Struthio camelus: one gene and its partners. The protein of the gene in region 3 purifies or fractionates together with the protein of the main gene of each other region. This does not show direct contact. Links are inferred from orthologs where the notes say so. Each region holds a gene or a part of one and is shown on either strand. Other genes may lie near its edges.

Region 1 (3,745 bases), on a different chromosome or scaffold from region 3:
TCCACCGCCTTCACCTTGAAAGTGTAGCTGGTCTGCTGCTCCCGGTCGAAGGAGACGGTGGAGTAAATGGTGCCGGTGTCGTTCTCGATGGAGAAGATGCCGGCTGCCTGGTCGTGCTCGCCTGGCTGGATGGAGAGGCTGAGCTCGGCGTTGCGGCCCTTGTCGAAGTCCATCACGGTCACCATGCCCACGGGGCTGTTGGGCTGCAGGTTCTCCTTCACGTAGAAAGTGAACACGTCCTGCATGAAGCGCGGCTCGTTGTCGTTGCGGTCTGCCACCCGCACCACCACGGTGGTGGAGCCCTGCAGGGAAGGCACCCCCTTGTCCCGGGCCGTCACCTGGAACTCGTAGGTGTCGCGTTGCTCGCGGTCCAGCACCGCCTGCACCGACACGTCGCCCGAGTCCGGGTCGATGCTGAAGATGCCTCCTGGTGCCTCCGAGGAAAGGGGCGAGGGCTCCAGGGAGTAGGTGATCTCGGCGTTCTTGCCGCTGTCCGCGTCCGTGGCGACCACTGTGGCCACCCTCTCGCCGGGCAAGTTGTTCTCCGGGAAGGAGACCTCCAGCACGGCCTGGCTGAACACGGGAGGGTTGTCATTAGTGTCCCCGACCCGCACCAGCAAAGAGTTGTTGCTGGACAAGCTCGGGCTGCCCGAGTCCACAGCCACGATCACCACGTTGTAGTCGCGGACAGCCTCGTAGTCCAGAGGGGCCGAAGTGTGGAGGAAATACTTGCGCTTGTTCTGTGGCTCCCCCTCGCCCTCGCTGGCCGGCTTGAGCTGGAAGGGCACGTCTCCCACCACGGTGCAGGTCACCACGCCGTTCTCGCCCTGGTCCCGGTCCGACACCTGCACCAACGCGATAGGAGTATCCACCAGCACGTCCTCGGCCACGCTGGCCACCCCGTCCCGCAGCGGGATGCGCCCGATTTTACGGATGTCGATGGTGGGCACGTTGTCGTTCTCGTCGCGGATGTTTAGCACTACCGTGGCCTTGTCTGTCTTGGGGGGCTGGCCCCGGTCCCGGGCCATGACGGTGAAGCGAAGCTGGTTCACCTCCTCGCGGTCGATGCGGTGCAAGACGCTGAGCCAGCCCGAGGTCTCGTCCAGCCGCAGCAGGCGCCTCACGGACTCGGTGGCCGCCCCGAAGACGTACTCGATCTGCCCGTTTACCCCCACGTCCAGGTCTGCGGCTCGAAGCTGCAGGATGGGGGTCCCGGGACTGCTGTTCTCCGCCAGGTCCGCCTCGTAGACGCTCTTCTCGAAGCGGGGGCTGTTGTCGTTCACGTCGGTGATCAGCACCCTCAGGATAGCCTGCGAGGAGCGGGCCGGGTCGCCGCCATCCCGTACGCGGAGGCTTAGCTCGTAGGAGTCCCGCTGCTCCCGGTCCAGCGCCCCCTTGACGATCAGCTGCGGCTGCTTCTCCCCGTCGAGGGTATCGGCTACCTGCAGCTCGAACACGCTGCTCCGGGCCGCCCCGTCCGCCTCCTGCCTCCGCTTGCTGCCGCCGGGGTAGAGGGCGCTCTCGGCGGCCACGGAAGCCGCCCCCCCGCCGCCGCCGCCGCCGCCGCCCCCGCCGCCCCCGCCGCCGCCGCGCCGGCCCCCGTCCCCGCCGGGCTCCTGCAGCAGCTCGTAGCGCTCGATGCCGTTGCGGCCAAAGTCCCTGTCGGTGGCGGTGGGAAGCAGGTAGAGGGTCCCCACGGGCCGGTTCTCCTCCACGGTAAGCGTGAGGACAGGGGAAGGGAAGGTAGGGGTGTTGTCGTTGATGTCCAGGATGATGACCCGGCCCTCGAAGAGGTCCACCCAGCTCTGCGAGGGGCCGATGACCGACACCTCGAAGTCTAGGAAGCACTCGTTCTCGTCGAAGATCATCTGGCACTGCGGCAGCTTCTCGCGGTCGATGCGCCGCTCCGTGGTGCTCAGCTCCCCGGTCATGTTATCGATCTTGAGGTAGTCGGAGCCCGATTCCAGGCTGAATGTCACCTCTCCGGAGCCCGTCACGATACCCAGGTCGGAAGCCACGTTGCCGATGCGGATGTCGGCGGGTCCCTCCTCGGCCAGCCTGTACCTCAGGAGCTGCTTGGCCGCTGCTAGGCTGACCCAGAGCGGCGGAGGCAGGAGGAGCAAGAAGCAGCAGCAGCAGCAGCAATGTACAAAGCCAAGGAGAGTCCGCATCTTCCTCATCTTCTTCGCACCGAAAACCCCCCTCCTCTCAGTCCCACCCGCCCCTCAGTAAACTCCCCTGATAAGCCAACAGAAAGGCGTCCGGATGATCAATTATAAAATCCTTCTGTTCCTGGAAACTTACTGTCTCATGGCTGCTGCAATTGGTGGTCAAAACCCTGCTGTTGGCTCCTCTGCTGTTCTCCCTGCCTTCCAGTTGCGATATACTTACAGTTCACGGGACAGTGTATTTTGCTTTTTAAAGATTCATCTCAGCAGATAGGATGGGATTTTCCTCCTCCTCCCCCTTCTCCTCCTCCTCCTCTCTGATTTTACTGTAATCACTTTGCAAGGTTTGCAATAAAAGCAGGAGCAGAACTGTGCGATTTGAAGCCCCCCAGGTCGTCTTCTTCGACACTAGAGTTAACTACAATTCACACACTCTCTCTTTTCTCTCTCTCTCTCTCTCTCTCTCGCTCTCTCGCTCTCGCTCTCTCTCAGCCGTTTACGACCAAGGCATTAGCTTTATTCTTCCCCCTCTCTGCACACACAGGAAAAAAATGTGATTCGCTTTATTCAAAGGGCTTGTGTCCGGGAAAACTCCAAATCCTCTTAGCAATGGGCAGTTCTTTAAAAAATTAATAATAATTTAAAAAGATTAAAAAAAATTAAAAATCCCAATAATGTCGGTAGCTGTACAACTGATAGGAGAAGAACCCCGTGTATTACAGAGCAGTCCATAGACTATCCCCTTCGGTTGGCAGAAAAGCACCCAAATCCATCTTCAGAGATCGCCTAAAATGTTCACCTCTTTCTCCGGAGAGGATTTTTTTAACAACTCTGCGCAAGGTCATTAGTCACAAAGCAACGATACAGAAACTGCAGAAGCCGTTTGCCCACAATTTGCAAGGCTGTAGATATGAACATACACAACAGTCCCAAGTTTGTTTTTGCATCCGCAGTTTGTGTGTGTGCCTTACCTGCATTTGTACTGCATGTGTTATAGCAATCTGGATCTGCAGCACTGAGAGCGATTCACAAATGAGATTGCAGTCTCTCTCTCGCTCTCTCTCTCTTTCTCGCTCTCTCTCGCCTCTTCCTTCCCGTCCCAATGCAGGTAACCAGATCTGAACTTGATCCTTTCAGTTCAAAGGTTAGCAACAAGACTGTGTTGTCCAAAGGCGATTATTGGTCTCTCGTTAATATACCCGGAGCGGAACAAGATGTAACTGGATCCCCCACGTGAATTAACACAGATTCTGAATTACATCCATATAAGCGGAATGGCAAAGGGGAGGGGAAAAGAGCCGCGACGCGGTTAAAAAATGCACAGAGTTCTATTTGCAAATAAAATGATATCAGTCAGTTGTTTCCTCTGATCTGCACCGCCACGGTGGGTGAAATCTGCAATTGTGTATTCCCTCCTGTGTCTTTCAGAGAAGTGTGGCTCAGGCGCTTTCACGGCAAAGCGGCTTGTGCTTTAAAATGTTGAATGGCAACTGAGAAGCTTCCCACCCGGAAAAAAAAAAAAAAAAAAAAGCAGTAAACCGGCAAGTTTGCCCAAAGTGGTGGGAGCTGCTGAAGCC
Region 2 (3,745 bases), on a different chromosome or scaffold from region 3:
GTGTGCAAGGAAAGAAACCTGGAGGGTGGGTTCTTTCTTTCTAACATTTGAGATTTATGATATTGAAATTGCTTTTTCCATCCTTTAGCTTTTCAGATGTAAAATGGGAATAACAGGATTGGCTTCCTTCACAGGGATAGCATGCGCACAATGGTCTTAAGAGCGAGCTGCTCAGTGTTACGGTACCAAGGGCCACGTAGGCCCTTAGACAAGCAATTATCCTTTCTCCACGAAGTGGCAACTGCCCTTCCATAAGGGAAAAGACCGGGGGGGGGGGGGAGGAGGTGTGCGAGCAGACTGCAGGTAAAGCCAAGCGGCTCTGCCTTACCTTCTGCAGGGGGCCACGGCCCAGCTGCAGAGGGGCCTATGCTCTGACACGAGGCGTTAGCGATACCCGCGACCAGCCGGAGGACAGCGGGCAACCGGCAGGACAAAGAGCCCCGGCGGCCGGCGCTGCCCGGCGCAGCCGCCGCCGCCCCCACCTCCCAACGGCCGCCGGGCGGGGGAACGCGGCAGCCCCTTCGGGAGGACCCGGCTCCTCCTCCGCAAAGCACCAGCGGTCCCTTGCGGGAAGCTGCCGCCTTCCCTCCGCCGAGGCGGCACCGCCGCCCCTCTCCACCGGGCAGCAGCACCTCCCCGCCGCCGCCCCCGCCTCACGCGGCGCCGCGCAGGCGCGCTGGGAGCCGCCGCGGCTCCGGCGCTTGCGCAGTGGCGGCGGGCGCCCGCGGGGCGCGCTGCCCTGGCTCCGGCGGCGGCGGCAGGCGGCGCTGGTGCGGCCGCGCGCAGCCCGCCCGGCCCGACACAAAGAGGAGGGCGGATGCGGCGGCTGCGGCTTCTGCCCGTCCGCCCGCGGCTCGCCGCCCCCCGGCACCACATGGCGGCGGCGTCGCCGCCCCCGCGGAGCTCCGGCCCGCGCTAGGCCACGGGGAAGCGCATCCCCCCCCTTCTCGCCCGCCCGGTCCCGGCGGTCCGCGGCGCCTCCGGCAGGGGCGGAGCGGGGCCCTGAGCGCCTGGCTGGCTCCCGCCATGCCGCCCGCCGGCCGCCGCTCCTCCTGCCGCCCGCCGCGTCCCCGCCGCCGCCCGCCGCGGCTGCTGCCCGCGCTGCTGCTCCTGGCCGCGCTGGGCGGCGGCGGCGGCGGCGCGCTGCCCCCCGGCTGTAAGTACGACGGGCGCCCCAAGAGCGGCGGCAAGTCGGTGGCGGGCGCTGGCGGCCCCGTGGAGGTGAAGGTGGTTTGCAGCAACCTGGAGCTGGCTCAGGTCCTGCCTGCCGAGGCGCTGCCCAACCGGACGGTCACCCTGTGAGTAGGGGCCGGCGGCGGCGCGGCCTTGGTGCGACGTGGACAGGGGAAGGGAGGGGAGCGGGCAGCCGGCCTGCCCGGACGGTGCCGGCCGTGCCCGCGGGGGGGTTACGTGGGGTCAGCCCCAACGGGAGGCCGCCCGCCTGGCGCGGGTGGGGGGGGGGACGTCCCGGGAAGTGGTTTTTGTGTTGGTTTTGTGTTCTTGTTTAGCCTTCCGGTATAGTAATTTTGAGGCGAAAAGTGATTTGTGGAGGGCTGTGTGAGACGTCCAGCTTTATTACCGTAATGAGCCGTGCCTGCGCCGTAAAAGTAAACAAGCTCGGCGTTACTCACCGGCGCGGCGGTACCGCGGCGCGGTCGGGCCGGGCGGCCGGCGGGGGCGCGCGCGGCCCCGCCCCCTCCCGCCGGCCCCTGCGGGCCAACGGGCGCTCCGGCGGGCGGGCCGCGCTCTGCGGCCGCGTTGCGTCTGCCCGGCGTCGGCCGCCGGGCTGCCCCGCCGCGGGATGTCTCCGCACGTACAGGAGTCAAACAAGTAACCTCCTCCCCCCCACTCGTGTGCCAGACCACCGAGGCGACTTCTGCTCTCTTTTCACACTTTTCACCTCGATCAATCCTGCGAAGTAATTAAGCATGTTGATAAAGACTGCAGTTACTGCGTGGTTAGAGCCTTGGGTGCCCTTTCCCTAAGGTAAGCGGCCGGTCCAGCGGTCCCTAGAACTTGCTGGAGGTTGTTTTTGAGCTTTATTTCAGGAGGAGCTCAGCTTTAGGATACCTTATCTTGGGGCAGTTGTGATGGACCACGTATGAATAGGTCGTGCGGCCATTCGGTGTGTGGTAGGTTAGGTATGTTTGAAGCCTGACAGTGACAAACAACAACTTGTTCATTGCAGTGCATGATACAACAGCTAAGGGGATTTACTTTGTGTCATCCTTAAAAAAAGGTCAATTTACTTTTCCTTAAGAGTAGGTGTGGTTTATTTTATATTTAGTTAATCATAGCCCTTGCATTTAAATAACAGGTTTCAAACCGGATATGTAGCATATTCCAAAGTAAGTTTATTGCTGTTACTTAAACTTCGGCATGTGCGTGTAGACAGACGATTTGGAAGTTGTGACATTAACTGAACACTCTAGCAAAGAAGTTATACAGCAACACTGTTTCTTTTCTTTTCTTTTTTTTTTTTTTTTGTGGATGGCCCCAAAAGTGAAATCCTTCTTCCTTTAGAGAGCCTAAGGTGCCCATACTACTATGGGAAGACACAAGTGCATCCAAGTAGCTTGCAAGAAAAATCGATGAAAATAAGCTGACCTATGGGGTATAGCTTAAACATATTTATCTATTTGTCTGGAAATCACAGGGTGAGAATCTTTTTCTAAGGGTAGAAGTTTACAGCTCTTTTTTGAAACCAAATAATTTGAGTTTAAGGAGCGCCAAATGTCTATACAGTTCTGTCACGACAACAGCAATTTGACTGTTGCGTTTGTGAACTTTGATGCCACCGAAACACCAAATAAAGGCTTCCTTGGCAATTGACAGTGAAGTATGGATGCCAGTCAGCAGCAGATGCACGGACCTAGACCCATGAGAAAAGAGAAAACCAAAAAAATGGGAGGTGATTCAGACTAAAACAGTAATTCTCAGCTTGCAAATGTGCAGGGTTTCAGAGAATATTTTTAAGGGGCATGTGAGAAATGATCAGAAATATTCACGTGTGAAGTTTCCAAAGTAGAAAAGAAAGCAAAAAGTAAAGACAAATGTTTAATCAACAGGCTTATTTAGCCTTTGTTAAACTTACCTAACTCCTAAACAGTGTTTTGCATCTGGTTGATCTAACTATTGAAATATAGTATTATCTGTTACAATTTAGCTTAAAAGTGCATGTTAGACTCTGGGAATTGCTGAAGCTGACTCTATCTTTTGGTTCAAAAAGCTTGGAGCCACAGCTGTGATTTCTGTGGAAGACAAGCAGATATCAAATACCGCAGCCTTGCTCTGAATGGACTTTTGTTTGCAACTGTAGTGAGAGAAGAATTTGGAAGAATGGTTCCTCTTTCATCTTGATTCTTCATACCTCTTCATCATTGAGAGCATACCCACGTGCACTAATTAGTTGCTTTTGCTTTTAGCTGGCCTTTGAAGTTTATGGTAACTTCTGAAACATTTTTCCCTTAAATACATACTGTTAAACTTTCTGATAGACATAGCAAGAAACAGAATGAGATTTTTCATTATGTGTAGAAACTGTCATAATTGTATTGATGCAATTGATGTGAACACACTCTTTGAAATTTGATTTAAATATAAGGTGAAAATTATTAAATGCTTTTTTTTTTTTTCTTTTCCTCTAAGATAACGGACAGAATACCTGTTGTGGTTTGGGATCTTCCATTGCACTCACTTCTGAGACATGACTTCCCATAATGCTGAGATCATTCCTTTACTGAAT
Region 3 (3,745 bases):
TTATCTTCAGATTATACTCAGATTTATCCAAGCATTTGAGGACACAGAAGAGATTGCTAAGAGTCATATACTTTACATGACATAGAATAGCTCTGGACATCTTTGGTAAGCGACTTTAGCCTCACTAGCAATACCACCCTTAAGAGAGATTAAGAGATGCAATTTAACTTAAAAACAAAAATGACCACAAAACAAAAAAGCTTGTCTTCCTTAGGTTCTATTGAATGATTAATAATTATGCTAGTGAACCACAAAAGTCTGAGCAAGTTCAACTCGTACTCATTTCAGTCGTCAGACTCAGGAGAGTTCAAGCCTTACTATTCAGTATTTCAAAGATTAATTAGTTGTTTAGAAACCCAGCTAAACAGCAAGACTTTTTTTTTCCCCCTCAAATCCCGCATCTGTAATAGAGCATCTGGCAGTTAAGCACACACAATGTAAAAATGATGACAATAGAATGCTAATCGCCAGCGCAAGCCATAAGGGAGAAAACGTTTACAGAGTTATTCACGCTCTGGGTCCCCTGACTTCAGTCAGCTATGTGCTTACAGAGATCAGATTAACTGGAGACATTTTTATTTTGTCTATTTGATGCAAATAAAGTCTTGTGCTGTTAGAAGATTTCGTTTCCAGCTTACACAGATATAGAAGGACGCTTACTAGAGGCCAGATCACTAGGGATACTGACGTATTTGTTTTGAGACTCTAGCAATCAACTCTAAACAAGATCCTAAGCAAGTCAAAGTCTAGAGAAAACAAATCTTTGTTTAAACCAGAGACTCTCCAAGAGCAAAACTGCTATGAGAGTCTTCTGTGCTGGGCCAGGTGGTAGACCGCATAGGACTGTCTCTGAATACTTGCGCAGCAATTATCAGCCTCCCTGGAAATTATGATTCCTTTCACACACGCTCCCAATTATTGCCAGGTCTCCTCTCTGCCCTCTGAATGTCACTCCCCTCACTAATTAAATCACAGGCCTGAACTCATCTCTCCTAGGGCTTACGCTGCTCCTGCAGCACAATATTCCCAGTCACTTGAACCTGGAGAAGTACTCACTATTACGGTAGGAAAAAAATAAACAAACAAAAAAACAGGACACTTTTCTTCCCCTAAAATCCCATACACATATACATGGCTGGACACAGAGAGTCCCTTCAGTGCCTTCAGACTCCTCCATTCCCCCCATGCCTTCCTCATGATCCCCTCAGTCCCCCCACGCTGGTCCTACAAAGCAATCCCCATCCTCTCCTGGGCCCCCACATTCACCCACCTCCACCCCAGCCCCACAGACACCCACCCCATCCTCTCCCAAGCCCCCACGTTCACCCACCTCCACCCCAGCCCCACAGACACCCACCCCATCCTCTCCCAAGCCCCCACGTTCACCCACCTCCACCCCAGCCCCACAGACACCCACCCCATCCTCTCCCAAGCCCCCACGTTCACCCACCTCCACCCCAGCCCCACAGACACCCACCCCATCCTCTCCCAAGCCCCCACGTTCACCCACCTCCACCCCAGCCCCACAGACACCCACCCCATCCTCTCCCAAGCCCCCACGCTCACCCACCTCCACCCCAGCCCCACAGACACCCACCCCATCCTCTCCCAAGCCCCCACGCTCACCCACCTCCACCCCAGCCCCACAGACCTCCCACCCCAGTCCCACTGAGCACCCCCCACGCCCTCTCAGGCCCCCGGACTGCCACCGCCACCCCCGTCCCCCTGACACCCCTCTCCTCTCCTGGACGCCTCGGCCGTCCCACCCCCTCCCGGGCCCCCACAACCAGCGCCAGGCCAGGCTCGCAGACCCCGGCCCCGCCTGCGCCCCCACCCGCAGCGCTGCCGCCGCGACCCCCGCCCGGCGGCTGCCACCCGGCCGCGGCCCCCCCACCCCGCCCGGGGCCTGGAGCGGCCCCAGCCCGCACTCACCGATCAGCCGGCGCACCTCCTCCTCGCTCAGGTAGAGGCTGAGGCTGGGACCGGGCCCAGCGGGGGGCCAGTGCGGGGGGCCCGCGGCGTGCGGGCCGGAGCTGGGGCTGGCCTGGCCCGCGGCGCCGGCGGGCAGCAGGAGCAGCAGCAGCGGCGGCAGGAGGCGGAGGAGATGGCGGTGCGGGCCCCGCACCCGGCGCGGCGGCCGCCGCTGCCCCGCGCCCGCCTCCGCCGGCGCTAAAGGGGGCCGGCCCCGCCGCCGCCGCCCCCCGCCCCGCCGCTCCGGCACCATCGCTCTGCGGCGAGGGGGCCCCCCCCGCCCCCAGCCCCGCCGACCCCTCACACGCCGCGGCGGCCCCCAGTCCCCGCCCCACCGCTCATGACTCCGCGCCCGCGGCGGCCGCTCGCGCCGCTTCCTCCGCGGCAGGACCCGCCCCGCGCCCCCCCCCGCGGCCCGCAGGCGGCGGCGGCGGCGGCGGCGGCGGCGGCGGCGGCGGCGGCGGCGGCGGCGGCGGCGGCGCCCACCCCTCCCCCACGCGGCACTCAGCCGACGATGGCGCGCAGGCGCACAGCCCTGCCCTCCCCGCGCCCCGCCCCCGGCCCCGCCCCCCGGGGCCGCCGGCCGCGGCGCTGGCAGCGGCCGTTTCGCGCCCGCCTCGGGGCGGGGCCGGCGCCGCCCTCCCGCGCTTCCCGGGGCCGCCACTTCAGAGCGGGCGGCGGGGGAGCTGCCTGGCCAGGCCGGCACCCTGCCCTGCCCGCGGGGCAGCGGGGCCGAGCCAGCAGCCGCCTGGCTCCGGCTGCTCAGTGGGCCGAGGGGCCGTGTGGCCCGCGCTGCCCGCGCCTGGGCCGAGGAGGCCTTCTCAGCCTCCTCCCTTAACTGCTGAGCGGTCCTGGCCCGCTGAACAGCTTTGAAACCCGTAGCGAATCCGTTTCTGTTCCTGTGCCAACCCCCATGGTTGATAAATCAAGGATCTTCATGTCCAGTGTCTGCTTTGGGCGATTTCTAAGGCCTTGCGGAGAGGGTTCTGGTTTCGTGCTTTCTGGATGGTTCTCGTTCCATCCGGGCTGCTTTAATTTTTGGAAGCGCCTCTGCTTCCTTTGTGCTTCATCAGCAATACCACTTCTCAGCTTCTCTCCAGCATAATCTGATGGCCGCATTGTCCTTACCTGACACATGTCTAAATTTACCCAAATGCTAACAGAGACATTCGAGCATCAGGTTACATCACCCCCATATGTCAGGATGAAATCATGCATAGGTACATGTGTGGGAAGGGGGCAAATACTTGTGGGGAGGGCAGCTTGTGTGACTAGAATGCTGCAACGGATGGATACAGGCTCTTTAGGAAGGACAGGCCAGGAAGGAGAGCAGGGGGAGTCGCCCTTTATGTGAGGGAGCAGCTGGAATGTATGGAGCTCTGCCTAGGGGTGGGTGATGGGCTGACTGAGAGCTTATGGGTGAGGATGAAGGGGCAGGCCAGTATGGGTAACGCTGTTGTGGTTGTTTGCTATGGGCCGCCTGATCAGGAAGAAGATGAGGCCTTCTACAGACAGCTGGAAGTAGCCCCATGTTCGCAAGCCCTGGTCCTCATGGGGGACTTTAAGCACCCCAATATCTGCTGGAGGGACAACACAGCAGGGCACAAGCAATCCAGGAGGTTCCTGAGGAGCATCAATGACAACTTCCTGGCAGAGGTGACAGAGGAGCCAACGAGGAGAGGTGCTCTGCTGTACGTCATACTTATGAAGAAGGAAGGGCTGGTTGGGGATGTGAGGGTCGGGAGCAGCCGTGGCTGCAGTGACCAGGAGATGG

Evidence for each region.
Region 1: the proteins of RYK (region 3) and PCDH7 purify together in Homo sapiens (affinity purification with mass spectrometry; 3 studies listed by BioGRID and IntAct, with this or other methods). This does not show direct contact. The link is inferred for Struthio camelus from reciprocal best matches to the Homo sapiens genes RYK and PCDH7.
Region 2: the proteins of RYK (region 3) and ADGRA3 purify together in Homo sapiens (affinity purification with mass spectrometry; 3 studies listed by BioGRID and IntAct, with this or other methods). This does not show direct contact. The link is inferred for Struthio camelus from reciprocal best matches to the Homo sapiens genes RYK and ADGRA3.

The regions. Positions count from the first base shown.
Region 1 is NC_090945.1:65,070,303-65,074,047, forward strand, and holds the start of PCDH7 (protocadherin-7), read right to left. Parts: upstream 2,265-3,745; 5' UTR 2,181-2,264; coding exon 1-2,180.
Region 2 is NC_090945.1:68,050,601-68,054,345, forward strand, and holds the start of ADGRA3 (adhesion G protein-coupled receptor A3), read left to right. Parts: upstream 1-1,026; coding exon 1,027-1,298; intron 1,299-1,701; exon of another isoform or gene 1,702-1,986; intron 1,987-3,745. UniProt on the Homo sapiens protein: Orphan receptor that may have a role in planar cell polarity pathway.
Region 3 is NC_090950.1:2,897,153-2,900,897, forward strand, and holds the start of RYK (tyrosine-protein kinase RYK), read right to left. Parts: upstream 2,225-3,745; coding exon 1,933-2,224; intron 1-1,932. UniProt on the Homo sapiens protein: May be a coreceptor along with FZD8 of Wnt proteins, such as WNT1, WNT3, WNT3A and WNT5A. Involved in neuron differentiation, axon guidance, corpus callosum establishment and neurite outgrowth.